Lepisosteus oculatus: one gene and its partners. The protein of the gene in region 3 purifies or fractionates together with the protein of the main gene of each other region. This does not show direct contact. Links are inferred from orthologs where the notes say so. Each region holds a gene or a part of one and is shown on either strand. Other genes may lie near its edges.

Region 1 (5,236 bases), on a different chromosome or scaffold from region 3:
CTGTAATGCACTAACGCCATGAAAAAACATCTTATGAAACCACACTGCATACTTAGCTCAGGATCTTTGTTTTTTTTTTCTTTTCCCCGCCAAAAGCTAATAATTAAATGTATTTTTGAAGGAAGAGCTGTCATGGATTTATTGCATGTCTGCTTTTAAACCCACACTATTTCACTTAAAAGACTATTTCTAATTATTTCTTTACAGATTATATATTGTATCCAAATTCAGACAAACTGACTGCAAAAGAGAGAAATCTGCCAGGAGTTTAAGATTACACTTCCCAGAAAACATTCCCACAGCATTCACTACCGCTAATCAAAATAACTTATGATATCCCTTTGATATCCTGCTGTATAATGGACCTTTCCTATTTAATACTGCACTACTGCCCAAACTTTGAAGAAACAAAACCACACATATCCACTAAGATTCTGCTCTCTGGTCAATGGCTTCAATGTATAGCGTAACACACCGTGTCCCACTTACACGAGAGAAAGCCATCTTAGGTTAGACTGAAGCAAAGTTCTTTAATATATTCATTTATATTGAATGTGTACACATACCCACTTCATTAAAGGTGCATTGTGACACCATATTCATCAAGTTTAAATACAGGGCTTAGACTCTCCCTAAAATAAAACAAAGGCAGAAGGACAGCAGTCCACTGTTGTTTCACTGGTCAGGCTGTAATGGCTATTCAAAAAGGCCCAATATATTATTGTATGGGGACATATCTTATATACAGTATTACTATAGACCCATTACTTCAGCCACCAATTGGTTTAAGACTCAGCTTCCAGCAGCAACTGAATGAGATGAGCAGACATGCAGAGCCACTGACACGCAGGAAGCTTCATAATGCCTAGCAGGGGAGCTAGCAAAGACTGGATTTAACCGATAGCACTGCAGGCAGCTGGGACTTCGCGAGAGTCAATGCCTGGCAGTCAGATGGCCCTAACCAACTAATAGCACCCCTTCAACAAAGGCACACTGTCACCTTAGGAATCCCAGTTAGCATCAAGACCCCGATTTGAACTAGCGATATATAGGACAAGCTCCTGCATTGACTGAGCCCCTACCCCTCTTAATACTTATGTTTCAGCTGGGGATGATCCAAGCCAGCATATAGTAGCAGGACTTTCTTCACAAGAGAAGGCTTTCAACACAGACCACTTAATGGGGCAAAATAACGCCTATTTTCAAACATGTATGGTAAACCTGTGACAAAGCCACCAGCACATTTTAAAAAAAGAAACAAGAAGGCTAAAGAACTTCAATAATTGCACACAACTGTATTCCTATTTTCAGCATAATCACTACAGAATCTAACAACTGACAGCACCTTATAAGCAGTGGTAGCGGTCAAAGGCAAAATGAGTACGCTCTGAACGAGTCTAGCCTCTTGCACCTTGGGTTCACTGGGTCAATTAAACACTGACTGAGGCACTCCACATCTGTAGACATACAGAGCTGAGATGTGAACCAAGTTACAAGTGACAGGAGGCCTTTCGGCACACCAAGCATGAAACTATTTTGTAGCTTAGTAGCTTAATGATCCAAGGATCTTATTCAGCCATTTCTTGAAACAAAACCTGGATACTGACTTCAACCACTTGACTGGATTGCTTGTTCTACACTCCCGCACTCCCACTGTCTTCTGGGTACAATTCTGGGTGCTTCCTGTGCTCAGTTTGAAATGCTCATACACTTAGTTTCCTCTGTCGTTCTCTGGTTCCCGTGCCACCGTTCACTCTGAAGAAGTCCGTTTCGTCAGTGCCTTTGAGGATTTTCGAAAAGTTAGGTCTACGTTGTGTCACTCAAGAGCATGACCCCGTTGTCTCACAATGGCAGCTTAATTTATTTTCGTTTTTTTCCTGCCCTCGTATACAATGCAAACCCACACACCAGGCAGGGTCTCTGGGGCTACATCTTACCTGCTCGAGGACATCCAGTTTCAGCTCCAGCTTGCTGAGGACAACATCGCCGCCCCAGAGCGACAGCTGCAGATCCGATGGCTTCAGGTTCTTAATGTAGCGGTTGACATAGCTCATCAGCAGCGGAGTAACGTAAGACTCCAACATGGTGGATGGAATGCCTTTAACACTGCGGGTGGAAAGAAAGACCTGGGTGAAACCGTTTCTGACGGCAAATGGGCGAAACGTTTTAGACACAGGACAACAACAAGCAACACTGCAGACAAATAATTCAGTTTCATCCGCACAGACGTTCATTGTTTAATGTCCATTACTCGCAATGGCATGCAGTCAACTGTCAACTTTTTAGAAACAAAAATACACCCAGCGCAGTGCTGGGCTCTCCGATTCTGCTGTGGTATCATGACTGCAAATTAAAGCATGGATAGCCTTAAGCGTTTGTCCTAACAACACCTGCCCTAAGACAAAGATTACAAATGAATAACCCTATGGTATGAGAGTAAACAACTCTCCTTTTCAGAGATCCTTAGGCTTAAAGCTGAATGCACATTACGAATTGACTGTTTAATTCCAATGACAAATAAAGGTGCAACCCAAAGCAGAGCAATTTCCCCCCCACAGCTGCTGATCTGCGCAACTGTAAGGAACACGGGAACAGTGGCGGAATTTGGACAAACATAAAATCGACAGACGTCGTGCGTGTAACTTGGTCTTAGTATGAAAGCCGGAATTTCTGTCTGAAGCAAAAGTACAGCCAACTCCTTTAATTCATTTATCTAATATTAATAGAAAGTGGAGAGAAGCAAATACACAAATACAAATACAGCCTGTTCCTGAAGTAAATCTTATACTTTGGTAAAACAATTTAACTGCATAGAAACCCAAATGTTGACAGGAGTTTTATTTGGAGGATATTATCCAAGAATATCAGAGAATCTGAAAACTGTAGTAACGAAATGGTATACCGATTCCAGCGAGAAACATGCACAAGAGGACTCAAGCTGTTAACCTTAGCTCTTTGCATTCTGCCGAAATGCTTATTGCGCGACACTGTGCAATTAATAAACAAACTTCACATCACAATGACAAGAAACACATTCTAACACCGCATATACATTTAAACAAAGGGCTTCCGAGTAAAGGCTACACTTAAAATAATACATTAACTCTTACTTTACTGAGTCAAGTCCTTAAAGTTTCCGCAACTATACTACTATTCATTCCGACAAGAGCACAACATCAACAGCGAACCACTTGCACGGCTCTGTAACAACGTCACCATGTTACTCTTCCGCACAACAGCACTTCCGGCATTCACAAGTGAGGTCATTTCCTTTAAAGGGCAACCCTGCTGGCGTGCTGGAGTATCTATGGTATTAAGAGCTGCGAAGCAAGGAGTTCGGTAGAATGTGTTTGGTTGGCTTTGGAGTCAGGTCCACCAAGCACTCCAGTGGGGGTTTACGGTTTGTCCAATAAGTGGACGTTAATCTTAACTAAATTAACAATGTAAAAAAAAACGTGCATTGTTGAAACTTGATTGTTTCACTTTTTTTTGAATTAGCAGCTGTGAAAAGCTCTCCTGTTAATTTGTGCCTGCAATGTAAGGCTGAATAATGGATGTTTATTTGTAAAATGGTTTTGTTTTGTTCTCTAAAAATTAAAAATTAAAAAAAAATGTTACAGGATGAGGCAGGCTAAAAAAAAAAAGAAAAGCTCTCCTGTTAGACGAACGTTAGCCGGCGTATGTATACAAATACATTAAAGTTGCGCAATCAAAGCCTGTCAGAGAACTGAATACATGTTGTTTGCAAAGGAAAATTGATAATTGCAAAGTTACGTTACGTGGTATTTATGCTGTTTATCGCTAACGTCTACTGTACTGTACTGATCATTTTAAGACAATTATGTACCTAACTACTCAATGCTTATTGATATTTATGAAGCCGTGTTTTCCAAATCTGCACGCAATGGCTGAAAAGTTCAGTACAGATTTTCAGTGAACACATTCTGTGTTATTGGAACATAAATCAAATATATAAAAAACATTTAATTCACTTCAGAAAATCTCCCATAATCATTTTTACCCCTCTCTTGCAGGGGTAAATTCTTCATTTTCTGACCCCACAAAAGAAAAGCTTTTTTTAACAGTAAACCATCATAAAACATTAGCCACAAAAGGCCACAATTCGTGTAAATAAAAAGGTGCACGAAGGAATTATTAGGAACATGCCTACTCAGAGTAAGACAGGAGTTAAAATCCCAAAACAGATTACTATTAAAATTACTTAACTATCTTCACAGGCTTTTTACATTTAAAATGAAATATTGTGCCATGAAATGACCCAGTAAAGGAATGTACCTGAGCAGACAGTGAACAATGACAAATAAAGAGATAGTTAAGACACTTGTGGTCAGGGTAAGGTATTGATTTAAAAGTGTGATGTAAACCACCCTTTTGAATATTACGTCACTATCCACTGCTACTATTACCTGAATCTTTGCTAGTATGTCCCCACTGATGGTTTATAGGTTTATCCTTAATTATTTCATTTGAAAGGATACCATTGCACTGCACTCTTTGTTAGTATTGCTATATCATCTATATTGCCTTAACTTCTACTGTTGACAGAGGTCACTGGTTTCTTGCATAAGTGAATAAGGCATACATCATAAAGCATTAACTTTATCCATATTTTGAAAGAACTATCCAAAAGCTATTGTCAGTTTACTTACATCCAGTGTGTGTTTGTAAGTGTATTTATAATTGTGTTTTTGCCCAGATGCTATTTTAAACTCTGGTTTGCAAATAGGTTAGAAAAGATCCAAAGTTAATTCGCATTTCTACAGGTAAACACAAATCCTGTTCCCTAAATTAGCCAAGAGTGATATACAGTAATTATTTTATTATTTCAATATATAAAATTATATGTGATTTTAATGAGTCATTAAAAACACTCTTTATATTGTAATTGACTGTTTTGTATGTTTTTCTTGCACATGTATGGTCCAACTGGTCAGATAATCTCAATTATTATGATATTGAATGATGCCCTTAATCTCAAGGATTGAAAGAGGATCTTTTTTTTTTTAAACCATAAAGAATACAGTGTGTTTGTAGAGGCTGGGGTATATTCCAGAACTCGCCTTCACATTCTACGCAGATCTGTGAGACATTCAAATAGGTGTCATTTATCTAACAGAAAACTGTATGGTGAATCTGGTTTAAACTCGTCTTTTGCACCGAGTGTGTATGGATGGAATTTCTGTCTCGCACAGAGTCGACAAGGGAGGTTGGACAG
Region 2 (5,236 bases), on a different chromosome or scaffold from region 3:
CCAAATAACGAAATAATATTGCCGGCCCTCCCTCCTGCTTGTGTACCTGGAGTGCAGGACAGGGATGGAGCACTTGGTGATGATGCTGCCGATGATGATGGCCTCTCTCAGCGTGCAGGTCCCCGACTCGCACAGGGGGATCAGGATTCCTGAGCGAGAAAGAGGGGGGAGAGACGTTAGCGATGTGGCTCATCTCCTGCACTGCCAGGGACGGCCATTATAAAGCCTTAGACTCTCACCCTTGAACCAGGCCCCAGGCTTGAAAAGCGCCTTCTTCAGCGCGCTGTACAGGTGGAAGTTGAGCCGTTTATACTCCGCGATGTCATCTCGAATCCGCGGCAGCAGGACAAGGTTATAGAAGCGTTGAGCCATCCTCTCCTTCAGATTGGAGGAGAAGATCCTGCAGGTGGCAACAGGGAGAAAGAAAAATGAGGCGTAGAAAAGGGACACCTGCACACGGACAATAATTCACACAGGACACATCCGACAGCTGTCGCTTGACCTGGTTGAGTTTAACCAGGTTGTACTGTATACATTGTACCGATTAAGCATAACAGTAGCAATTAGCTTTACACGCTCTTCTGTGCATATTGAGGCACATATGAATTCCCATCACAAATTCAAAAGCCGCTACCAGTTGAATAAAAGCCTGCAGTTTGTAAAACTATAAGTGGATCAGAATCCTGCGCAATGGGTGCTCTCATGTTCTTGGACGCATAGCCCTACGAACACGGAAAGAGTTTGGGGCTGAAGTGGTTTATGAGAGAATGTTTTCTTGGTTAAAAAAGAGAACCACTTTACAGAGACGACAGGAAAGCCTCTCCTCTGTCCGTTTGCACAGTGTCAGCGCTACAAACCAAAAGAACAGCAGTGCGGTCTGCCGGCCAAGTGTTTCGGGAGCTGTGAGGGGAGTGTTGATCTCACCGTGTGGCCTGGTACATCGCTGCCGCCGTCCAGGTCTCCGGCTCTGTGATGTACAGCACCTGCTCCCAGTTGGACAGAGCAGGCACGATCTTGAAGGCCTTGGGCAGCTTTCCGCTGCGGTACTTGGACAGAACCTGGGAGAGTGCGTCAGAAAGGACAGTGAGGGAGAGACAGGGAATGGCAGCACACAGACTGAGAGAGAGGGTGTCCCCGCCCACACCGTGGCCCAGCACAGGACGCTCACCTCCTTCACCCCCTTGTACACCTCAATGACTCGGGGGTCCAGCTGGGGCATGGGGTGCCCCGACACCTCCGACATCACCGTCTCCACCTCCGTCTGCTTCTCTGTGATCTTCTCCATGATGATGTCCGCCAGAGTCCTCCTGGGGGAAGAGGCACAGTCGTGAACGCAGCCTGACACACTGAGGCCGGAGGATAGCAACCACGCACTCCGCACACGGGGGCAGGACATTCCAGGCTGGAACAACGCAGGGCTTAAGGAGACAGTCACTTGTCTGCTGTTGGCCACATCAAACCCTGGCAGACAGACCCCAGAACTCCCGAGTGCCTCAACAGTCTGGACTCCTGGACCGCTCCTGAACATTGACTATTACTGGACACACAGGGACTCTGCTGCTGGAACTGATGTGGGGTCTTTTCATTGCCAGAGAAAAGATGGTCCCATCTCAAGGATTTCTAGACGTAAACAGATATTCAAGGCAGCTTTTCCAGCAAAGTTCCGTACGTGTGGAAGAGAGCACTGCACACGATTTGTGGATTGTGGTTGAGAAACACTGAGTAAACTCTGGGCTGCGCTGCTGGAATTCTAGCAGGTTTGCTGTTGCATTGCCAGAGCCCGGCTCTGTGAGGTAGGTCGGTCCGGGTCAGTACCTGAGCGGCGGGTTCTTGCTCATGAACATCTGGATGGCCTTCTCATCCTCCGGGTCCACCTCCACCTCTGCCCCTGCCGCCCCCTCCCCGTCCTCTCCATCTCCCCCCTGCCCCAGCGCCGGCCATTCCTCCTCCTCCGAGTCCGAGTCCCTGGAGCCAGAGCCTGCAGGGCAACAGGAACAGGTCAGAAAACCCCATCAGGGCTGTTGGGAGCTAGCTGATCCCATCATTTCACCCAGATCTTTCCAGAAATGGCCCAGGGAATGAACTCCAACAACATGGCTGGGCCACTTGTTTCAGACCTCCACCACCCTCTGTGTATAGAAGTACCTCCTGGTCTCAGTTTTTAAGAACTCTTCCCAGTAGTTTTCACTGTTGGTTCTGAATCAAATCGCAACACTCTACAGCGATACAGTTTGAGACGGTGACAACCCCCCTGCCCATAACTCTCAGGACACTAGACACCAAAGGAGGATTCAATGTTTGCTACTTGCTCTCAAAGTGCCAGCATTACGGCTGGCTTCATGAAAACCTGGCCAGGTGGGTGATGGGATTGTGGCCTCTCGCTAGGGGTCGCGCCGGAGGCCGTGTGTGACCAAGCAGCTGAAGCACAGCAGAGAGAAGCGGTATCTGATTTCCACCTCTTTTGTACGAACAGTTCACGAACAGGACGCCTCACTCATGTCACTCTCCTTACAAACAACGCGGCACGCACAGCCGAGATAGGTCGCACCCGTGCCGGACGCAGGACCAGCCCGTGACAAGCGGCACGCGTTCTGTCACCCTCGCTAAACACTCACCCAGCACGGTCGTGGGCTGCTTTTTACTCTCCGCAGTCTTCCCGAGCCCGCACTCCGCCTCCAGCTCCTCCTGCTGTATCCGAGCCTGCTCCAGGATCTTCCGGGACAGCCGCTCGTCCACGTACTCGTCCTCAGCCTCCTGCCGGCGGCCACGGCTCTTCACCCGGCCGCTGCTCTTCACCTCATCGCTCTGCAGGATCTGCTCGGCCAGAGGAACCATCGCGACTCGGCTGTGCTCCGCTCTCCCTCCGCCTTTCGTCTTCTTCACTTTCGGCATCTCCGTAGGCGCCGATTCGCTCTGCTGTCAGAGTTCTGTTTGTCTTGTGTGCCGAAACCTGTAAAACAGACTTAAAACTCTGCCCGCACATGTGGAGAAAGACCACTCAGCAAGCACGCGTGACCCTTTGCCACTCACCGGAAATGATGTCACCGCCCCTCCACCCCGCACAATCATGGCGACACTCGAAGCACAAAAAATAAAATTGAAGACAACTTTTAAAAACGTCTTTATAGGAAGTCTTGAAAATGATCATTTAATTTCACGATAAGAATAATATGAATATAAATTAGCTGTACTAATTTGTTATTGTCAACCTCCGATCGTGGCGTCACTTCCTCTTCCTGATAACAGGAAGCTCGTGTCTGAAGTAACGTGAAGTTAGAGGAGTCTTGTTCTGTCAGAGGCGAACATGGGTGTAACGTGGTAAGATTAGTTATTTGAATCTTTTATTGCAGCAGAAACGTCATTTCATTGACAATGGCGATCCGGAGCGTATTGTTTTACACGGCTGGACATGGTGTTGGAGCAATGCGAGTTTCATACCTACGTGTACAACAACATAGTCACAGCTGGGTTCCTCGGGTCCAGAGCCTCACCATAAATATTAAATAATACGATAACAGACGTTTTTAAACTGGTTAACCGCGGCCCTGGTGGGGCTGCGCCGACAGCAACAGTTGTGAGTTTGCGGACTTTAGAAGCCATTTGAAACGAAATGGTCTGCAGTTTGAAAGGAGGCAGCGTGCTTTGTTTACGTGCAGGGACAGGGTGTGCTATATTAGCGGAGTCTCTGGTCCGGCGGTATATCGTTACAATTACAGTATGATGATGCTGCAGGAGGAGAAGAAGGTGGTTTGGAGAAAGGAGCTGTTTTGAATTATGTAACTGCAGCCTGGCTAATGCAGGTTATTCCAGAACCGATTGCATTTTCCAATTTAGCAGTATGTTTAAAAAGCTTTATGCACAGTTGTGTCACAAGATGACACTTTTGAACCAACTCTTAAAATAGCACTATAGTTTTGCTCGGTTCCTAGAACAATTTATTTAAAACTTTTATGCATTTAAAAAATATATAATTTAAACGATCTAATTGATATATGATGCTTTGCTTTTTTGTTTTTAAACTATCTGCTTTATAAGAACTCAACTCCAGTCTTGACTTGACACAGTCCGGCAGTGTGTTAAAAATACCAGTTAAACTCATAATTTGTTCAGTTAGGAAGGTTATTAGTTGAAATCAGTGTGTGTGTGTGGAGTGTTAGCTGTAACCCTGTGCTCTGGCAGTGTGTGTGTGTGGAGTGTTAGCAGTAACCCTGTGCTCTGGCAGTGTGTGTGTGTGTGGAGTGTTAGCAGTAACCCTGTGCTCAGGCAGTGTGTGTGTGTGTGGGGAGTGTTAGCAGTAACCCTGTGCTCTGGCAGTGTGTGTGTGTGTGGGGAGTGTTAGCAGTAACCCTGTGCTCTGGCAGTGTGTGTGTGGGGAGTGTTAGCAGTAACCCTGTGCTCTGGCAGTGTGTGTGTGGGGAGTGTTAGCAGTAACCCTGTGCTCTGGCAGTGTGTGTGTGCGGAGTGTTAGCAGTAACCCTGTGCTCTGGCAGTGTGTGTGTGGGGAGTGTTAGCAGTAACCCTGTGCTCTGGCAGTGTGTGTGTGTGTGCGGAGTGTTAGCAGTAACCCTGTGCTCTGGCAGTGTGTGTGTGTGTGCGCGGAGTGTTAGCAGTAACCCTGTGCTCTGGCAGTGTGTGTGTGTGCGCGGAGTGTTAGCAGTAACCCTGTGCTCTGGCAGTGTGTGTGTGTGCGCGGAGTGTTAGCAGTAACCCTGTGCTCTGGCAGTGTGTGTGTGTGCGCGGAGTGTTAGCAGTAACCCTGTGCTCTGGCAGTGTGTGTGTGTGTGGAGTGTTAGCAGTAACCCTGTGCTCTGGCAGTGTGTGTGTGTGTGTGGAGTGTTAGCAGTAACCCTGTGCTCTGGCAGTGTGTGCCAGGTGCCGGTGGTGGAGGGGAAGAGTGTCCAGCAGACAGTGGAGATGCTGCACAGGAAGCTGGAGCAGCTGGGAGCAGTGAAACAGGGCAGTTTCTGCGTGGACTGTGAGACCTACCATGCGGGGGCCATGGGCACTACAGGTGAGAGCGCTGAGCGAGGGAGCGTGGTTACTCTGGATAAAGAGAGAGGTAGAGTGTTGTGGAGAGAGTTGTCCAACACAAAATAGCACTGAGAGCTTGAGACAGAGGGTATTAAAAAAGCTAATAAGGAAAGGGGGAAAGATGCAGATAGATAATACCCCTAGCGCACAGAGGCTTGATGCAGAAGTAAAATGTTTGTGTTAGAGACCCAGGCTGAGATGGTAC
Region 3 (5,236 bases):
TAAGTGGTATTCCTAATGCTATGATTAAGTTAAAAGGGTAGAGCTCAAGCAAGAAATACTACAGAACCAGAAACATCTTTCTCTTGTTGCTTCTGTACATAAGAGTATTTGCAAAATGACTTCCCATGCCACAGTCCATATTTTAAGGACTAGGACACCAGCAATACTAACTTGAATACCAATTTATGTTTGAACCATGCAGCCACCATTTTGTATTAATATAGGAAAACTGACAAGTATAAATCAGCTGATGGCAGTAAAGCATGTAGTTTAATAGGTCTAAAAAAATTGCTTCTCCAGATCCGGAGAAACAGGCCCTTCCAGTTTTGACATCAAATAAAGGTTTTTGCAGTTTCTCCAATCAGAGCCAACCATACAAGAAAAGGCAGTGAGATTAAACATTATAGAGGCGAGAAGGGACCGCTGGAGAAGTGGATAGTCTGCTGACCCTGATGGGGATTCAAGTAACCCAATAGAAGGTCCTTAACTTCCAGCTCAGACTAGCTGTAACTTTACCAAATAAACAAAAAAAACTTGGGAGTTGAAAACATTACAGAGCCTCCAGGTCTGATGCCAAAACAAGGACATTCTGAAGATCAAATGGATAGGACTAAGAATAAACACTTCATGTTATTAAACTTCAGTCAATGACAGAAACTCATTTTGATTTGCTATAAGTTGGTTTGCAAAAAAGCCAACTTACACTAAATCAGCAGTATGAAGTTAGTGATACTGCGCTAAACACCAGCATAACCAAGGCAGACTAAGTGTTTGAGCATCTGTTGACTACAACTGATGTAATAGGTTTTAGGTTTCATTCCAAAGCCATGATTAAATCCGTATTAATTAATTCCTTAACATGGTCTCCATGTTAGCAGCTGCACAAAACGTCCATCACAATGTACCAACATAAAAACTGTTGCGAGACAATGAAAGACAGAGAGCCTTTACAGAGGTGGCCTTGTGTGTACACCCAAAAGGAGATATATAAAATACAAAGCTGATTTAAGGAGAAAGTACAATTCATACAAAACAGCTCATCTCAGTAACACCATTTTAAAACACCTTATAGCTACTGTCATAACAATGGACTTCTAATGATGTTCTATGGGAATCTACATTTTCTCGTATCAGACAACCAGTGAGGACTTACCAGTCCATATTTATATCCCTGTATCGAATGCATCTTGAGAAGCCAAACCAGTCTGTGACACTAAAGGAAAATGCCTACCTCAATAGTAACAGATGACATCCATATGGGAAAGGTCACCCCCAATCAACAGGGATCGTCTTACACATCCCTTATACCGTTCGTCTTGCCCACAGGCCTTCTGGCTGTTTCTGGTGTTGTGTTATAATACTGGGGGAAACTTATCCTCACCTTTCCAACTTTACACCAGACAGCCAGAACTGGTAACCCACGAGATTCACATCCAGACCACGCTTAATATGCACTGAGTGCCTAAAAAGCATACAGGCGCTGCAAAGGACCATTGTTGGACACAAACAAACCCACCCGTCGTGACTCCTCTTCCAAACGAGAATCTGGGGGAAAACAGAACCTGCAATTTGCTCTACACGTTTTTTTTCCGCTAAATAAAGCATACCAGCCTCCCAGATCTTACAACTGCACACGTTATATAACGCATACTCTGTTTCGTTTTGATTTACACATCAACATCTATTTTTTTACACCCCCACCTCTTCCACTACGTTACGTGTGGTGGTGAACAGGATTTACTGCTACACAAGCCTCTTCGTGTTACGTTTTAACCGCTCGGAAGCGAATGTCGCCTGAAGAACAATGCACCCTCAAGAGAAAGGTCCTCCTGTTTGATGTTTCTCACTTCAGGTTCGACTGGGAAATTGATCAAAATACCGAAATTCGGATAAAAAAAGGACCATCCTCGGTTCGGAACTCCTTTGTGAACCCAGAACGCCGCACGGTGTATGTGCTCTAGCTACACAATGTAACAGTTAACATCTATGGTTAAGCAGTAACTAACCACTGGTAAAGAAAAGTATGCAGATCACAAAACAGCGTTTGAATTGGGGGGATTTGCGTACAAAAAAAACGAGCAAAAATACGTTTGTTTTGTTCCGGCTTGCGATGGCTGTGGAAACCCGAAGGTTCAAAATGCCAAGAAGCCAAGTGTCAATTTCTGTTTAACATAACAAAGGGATCTTCCAATTAGGTACAAAAACCCGAGATAGCATTGTGTACGGCGCCGTTTCCAACACTAAAAGGTAATATAAATGAGCGGCAGGCACGATTCACTAACCGAAGCCCTTGTCAGAGAAGTTGTTGGAATGAATTTGTTTCGGGTTTATTTTTAAATAGGAGCACTCCCGTCTAGTAACAAGGGGGTTGAGATACAAAGAGCTCGATTAGTTACACATCGCTTCACCTTATTTAGTACAAGGTATCCTAGATTCTGTGAAAAGGAACAGGATACAGCTAAGTTACTTGGACACATTTATACTACGAAGCAGATAATGCAAATACGGCACAGTAACAAGAAGTGCTCGTCACAGTTTAAGGGGAATGTTACCTTCTACTACTACAATTCACTCAAATTGCAGACCGTTTTCATAAATGTCATAACACAAGCACCCGTGTTCTTACACAAATGAGCCCAACTTACCTTCGTCCTGTCCAAAAAATAACTGTAGTTAAATTTCAATCTACAGAATCAATTTAGTCCACTTACCCAGATAAATGTCTCCAAAAGATCCACTTCCAATTTTCCTACCCAGTCTGTATCTGTTTCCAACTCTCAGTTCCATGGCTTTAATTCTTATATAAAAATGTAAACAGGAGTAATTTTCTTAATCAAACCCCCGGAAGGTTCGATTTAAGCCCCTAATAATATCCGAAACCTTCAATATTTCCTCTATATCTGCCCTTTTCACCACTCTCCCCCTTCCTTCCAATTTTTAATAATATTGTTCCTTCTGTCACAATCCAATTTTCACCATTCCTTTTCTACCTCCCCGATTTTCCAAATACACCAATATGGGGCTTATCTGAAAGCTTGAAATGTGTAGATTATGTTCTTGTTGTTTCGGATGGCATCCCTCTTAACGGTGGAGAGGATGGAGACGGATTTTAATGGCTATCTTCTCTAGCTTAAAATACTGACTACCTCTGCTAACCCCCTCCTTCTGTGTGAAACAGTCTGCCATAGTCCTGTGACATCACTTCCCCTAGCAACAGTGGAGAGGGGGAGGGGATTGGGTAGGGTCTGAAACAAAAACAAGTATAACGATGGATTGATTCAACCTTCTTAGTTTCTTTTGTCCAGCTTTCAAAATAGCGTAAAATAATATGCGGCTGTTTTTTTTTCCAAAAGCAATCTCTACAATAATAAGCTTCATAGGTTATTAGTAGATAACATGGACAGGACAAGATGTTCTCAAAAGACATTGGGCTATTCAGTGGGAAAAAGTTAATTCCTCATGACTACAAATATACATTTGTATTTTCAGTTGTATATGAAGCATGCGAAATGGTTTTAATCCTTTCATTGTGACAATAATTTAATTTAAAAAACATCAGTAAATATAAAATAAATACTGAATATGTCTGAAACCATTGCTAAATAGACACATAGAACATATATCCTTCCTGTTACATAGCTATACTTTTCCTTTAGAGCCTTAGTTCTATAAGCAAGAATTCCAGTTGAGTGACTATGATTAAATGTGTTGTAAATAGACAGAAGAGCAATGTGCCCCGTAAAAGACAAAGATAAACACACAGAACAATTGTTTTATATGTAAATTCTTGTAATATTGTACAGTATGTTGCTTCTTCCTGAAACAACAAAACAGTTATCACCTCATGTTTTTGAAACCATAGGCTCTGTGTCTGAAGCTAGAACAATTATTAAAGAAAGATGATACAAACATTTGTATTTATGTTTCTAACAGGGCCAAAAATCGTGCATTTTTAATTCACTGCTTTTCTTCCATCTTGTTCTCAAAGTTGCTCTGTTCCATGAGCACCGTGCACCTATCCTTGTTGTTTACACAGCTTCCAGTATTGTTCCAACTGGTTGCCAAACTTGTTTCTGTGGTAACATGTCTTCTCTTCAGTCTTCCTGTTTACACTTCAAAAAGCGTAAAAAAATTCAACTCATCTGTCCTTTGCCTGAAACAACAGGAAGTGATAAATGCAACCTTTTTTTTTCAAATTGTTTGTATTTTCTTATAGGGCTGGAATGTAATTATTTTAGTTGGACATCATAAAACATAAATGTATTGGTATCAACTAAAGACAGTCAACATTTTTCTCCAAAAGGCGTCCTTACATTACTATAATTGCAGTCAAACAAAATTATACTGCATCAAAAAGGAAGGTTCTGAAATATTTGATCTTAACCTTTTTTGACAGTACAATATGCTTTAGTAACAAACTTCAGTTTCTGTGAAACAGCAAGTCTTATTTTTATAGTCTATGAGTAAATGGATCTGTTCTATGTTTATCACATTTTTCATACAACTGTTTTCAGAAATCACTCAAAAAACTCATCTGCCTTTGACTAAGGGCCCACTGAGTACTGTAGCAGTTTATTGCTGACCTTTCCTTTCTTTCCTCCTTTAGGCCTTCTAAAAAGGCTTGTTCTTTTTTAGAAGTGTTATTGCTTGTTGAACTGTTCTTATTTTATAAAAATATAATTTCTAGGTTTACTGAAGATATCCTTGAGAGCAAGATATTTATTTCCGCTAAGACCATCCTCTATAAACCTTGCTAATCCATAAATCTTCTGAGTTATGGATTGGTACCATTTATTTAAAATGTATTTATTACACAAGTACACAGAATTTAGCTACATTTTGCTAACATAAACAAGAATACAAAAAATCCTAGAAGAAATGTCTTTGACAAGTATAACGTACCAAGGAAGATTACATTTAATAAATTAGTGTTTAATCTTGCTTCAGATACTGGGTTCTAAAGCAATCTTAAATAGTATCTGATTATAATAATGAAAGTCTGAACATACTATATCCCATCACATTTTAAAATCTCTTGATTTATTTAGATTTTTTAAAAATGTAAATAGGTGTGCTTACATCAAAATATAAAGAGCATATACAGTATATGGGGCAACCATTTTTTCTGAAGGCAAGACAAGAAATGATATTTTTTAGAATCCACAGATTTTAGGATATGTCCAAAATTTCATATAAGTTTTCCTCAACTTGTATTTTTGATTTTATAAAAATAATC

What was found.
Region 1: the proteins of csnk1db (region 3) and intermembrane lipid transfer protein VPS13B purify together in Homo sapiens (affinity purification with mass spectrometry; 3 studies listed by BioGRID and IntAct, counting the BioPlex papers as one, with this or other methods). This does not show direct contact. The link is inferred for Lepisosteus oculatus from reciprocal best matches to the Homo sapiens genes CSNK1D and VPS13B.
Region 2: the proteins of csnk1db (region 3) and bysl purify together in Homo sapiens (affinity purification with mass spectrometry; 3 studies listed by BioGRID and IntAct, with this or other methods). This does not show direct contact. The link is inferred for Lepisosteus oculatus from reciprocal best matches to the Homo sapiens genes CSNK1D and BYSL.

Annotation. Positions count from the first base shown.
Region 1 is NC_090705.1:8,401,360-8,406,595, reverse strand, and holds the start of intermembrane lipid transfer protein VPS13B, read right to left. Parts: upstream 3,226-5,236; 5' UTR 3,111-3,225; intron 2,107-3,110; 5' UTR 2,085-2,106; coding exon 1,938-2,084; intron 1-1,937. UniProt on the Homo sapiens protein: Mediates the transfer of lipids between membranes at organelle contact sites. Binds phosphatidylinositol 3-phosphate. Functions as a tethering factor in the slow endocytic recycling pathway, to assist traffic between early and recycling endosomes.
Region 2 is NC_090700.1:40,791,425-40,796,660, reverse strand, and holds the start of bysl (bystin), read right to left. Parts: upstream 3,045-5,236; 5' UTR 2,893-3,044; coding exon 2,616-2,892; intron 1,979-2,615; coding exon 1,816-1,978; intron 1,308-1,815; coding exon 1,169-1,307; intron 1,059-1,168; coding exon 925-1,058; intron 401-924; coding exon 240-400; intron 150-239; coding exon 47-149; intron 1-46. Other genes in the region: med20 (mediator of RNA polymerase II transcription subunit 20), read left to right, coding at 3,305-3,318, 4,863-5,011. UniProt on the Homo sapiens protein: Required for processing of 20S pre-rRNA precursor and biogenesis of 40S ribosomal subunits. May be required for trophinin-dependent regulation of cell adhesion during implantation of human embryos.
Region 3 is NC_090704.1:39,445,664-39,450,899, reverse strand, and holds the start of csnk1db (casein kinase I), read right to left. Parts: upstream 3,194-5,236; 5' UTR 2,788-3,193; coding exon 2,712-2,787; intron 1-2,711. UniProt on the Homo sapiens protein: Essential serine/threonine-protein kinase that regulates diverse cellular growth and survival processes including Wnt signaling, DNA repair and circadian rhythms. It can phosphorylate a large number of proteins.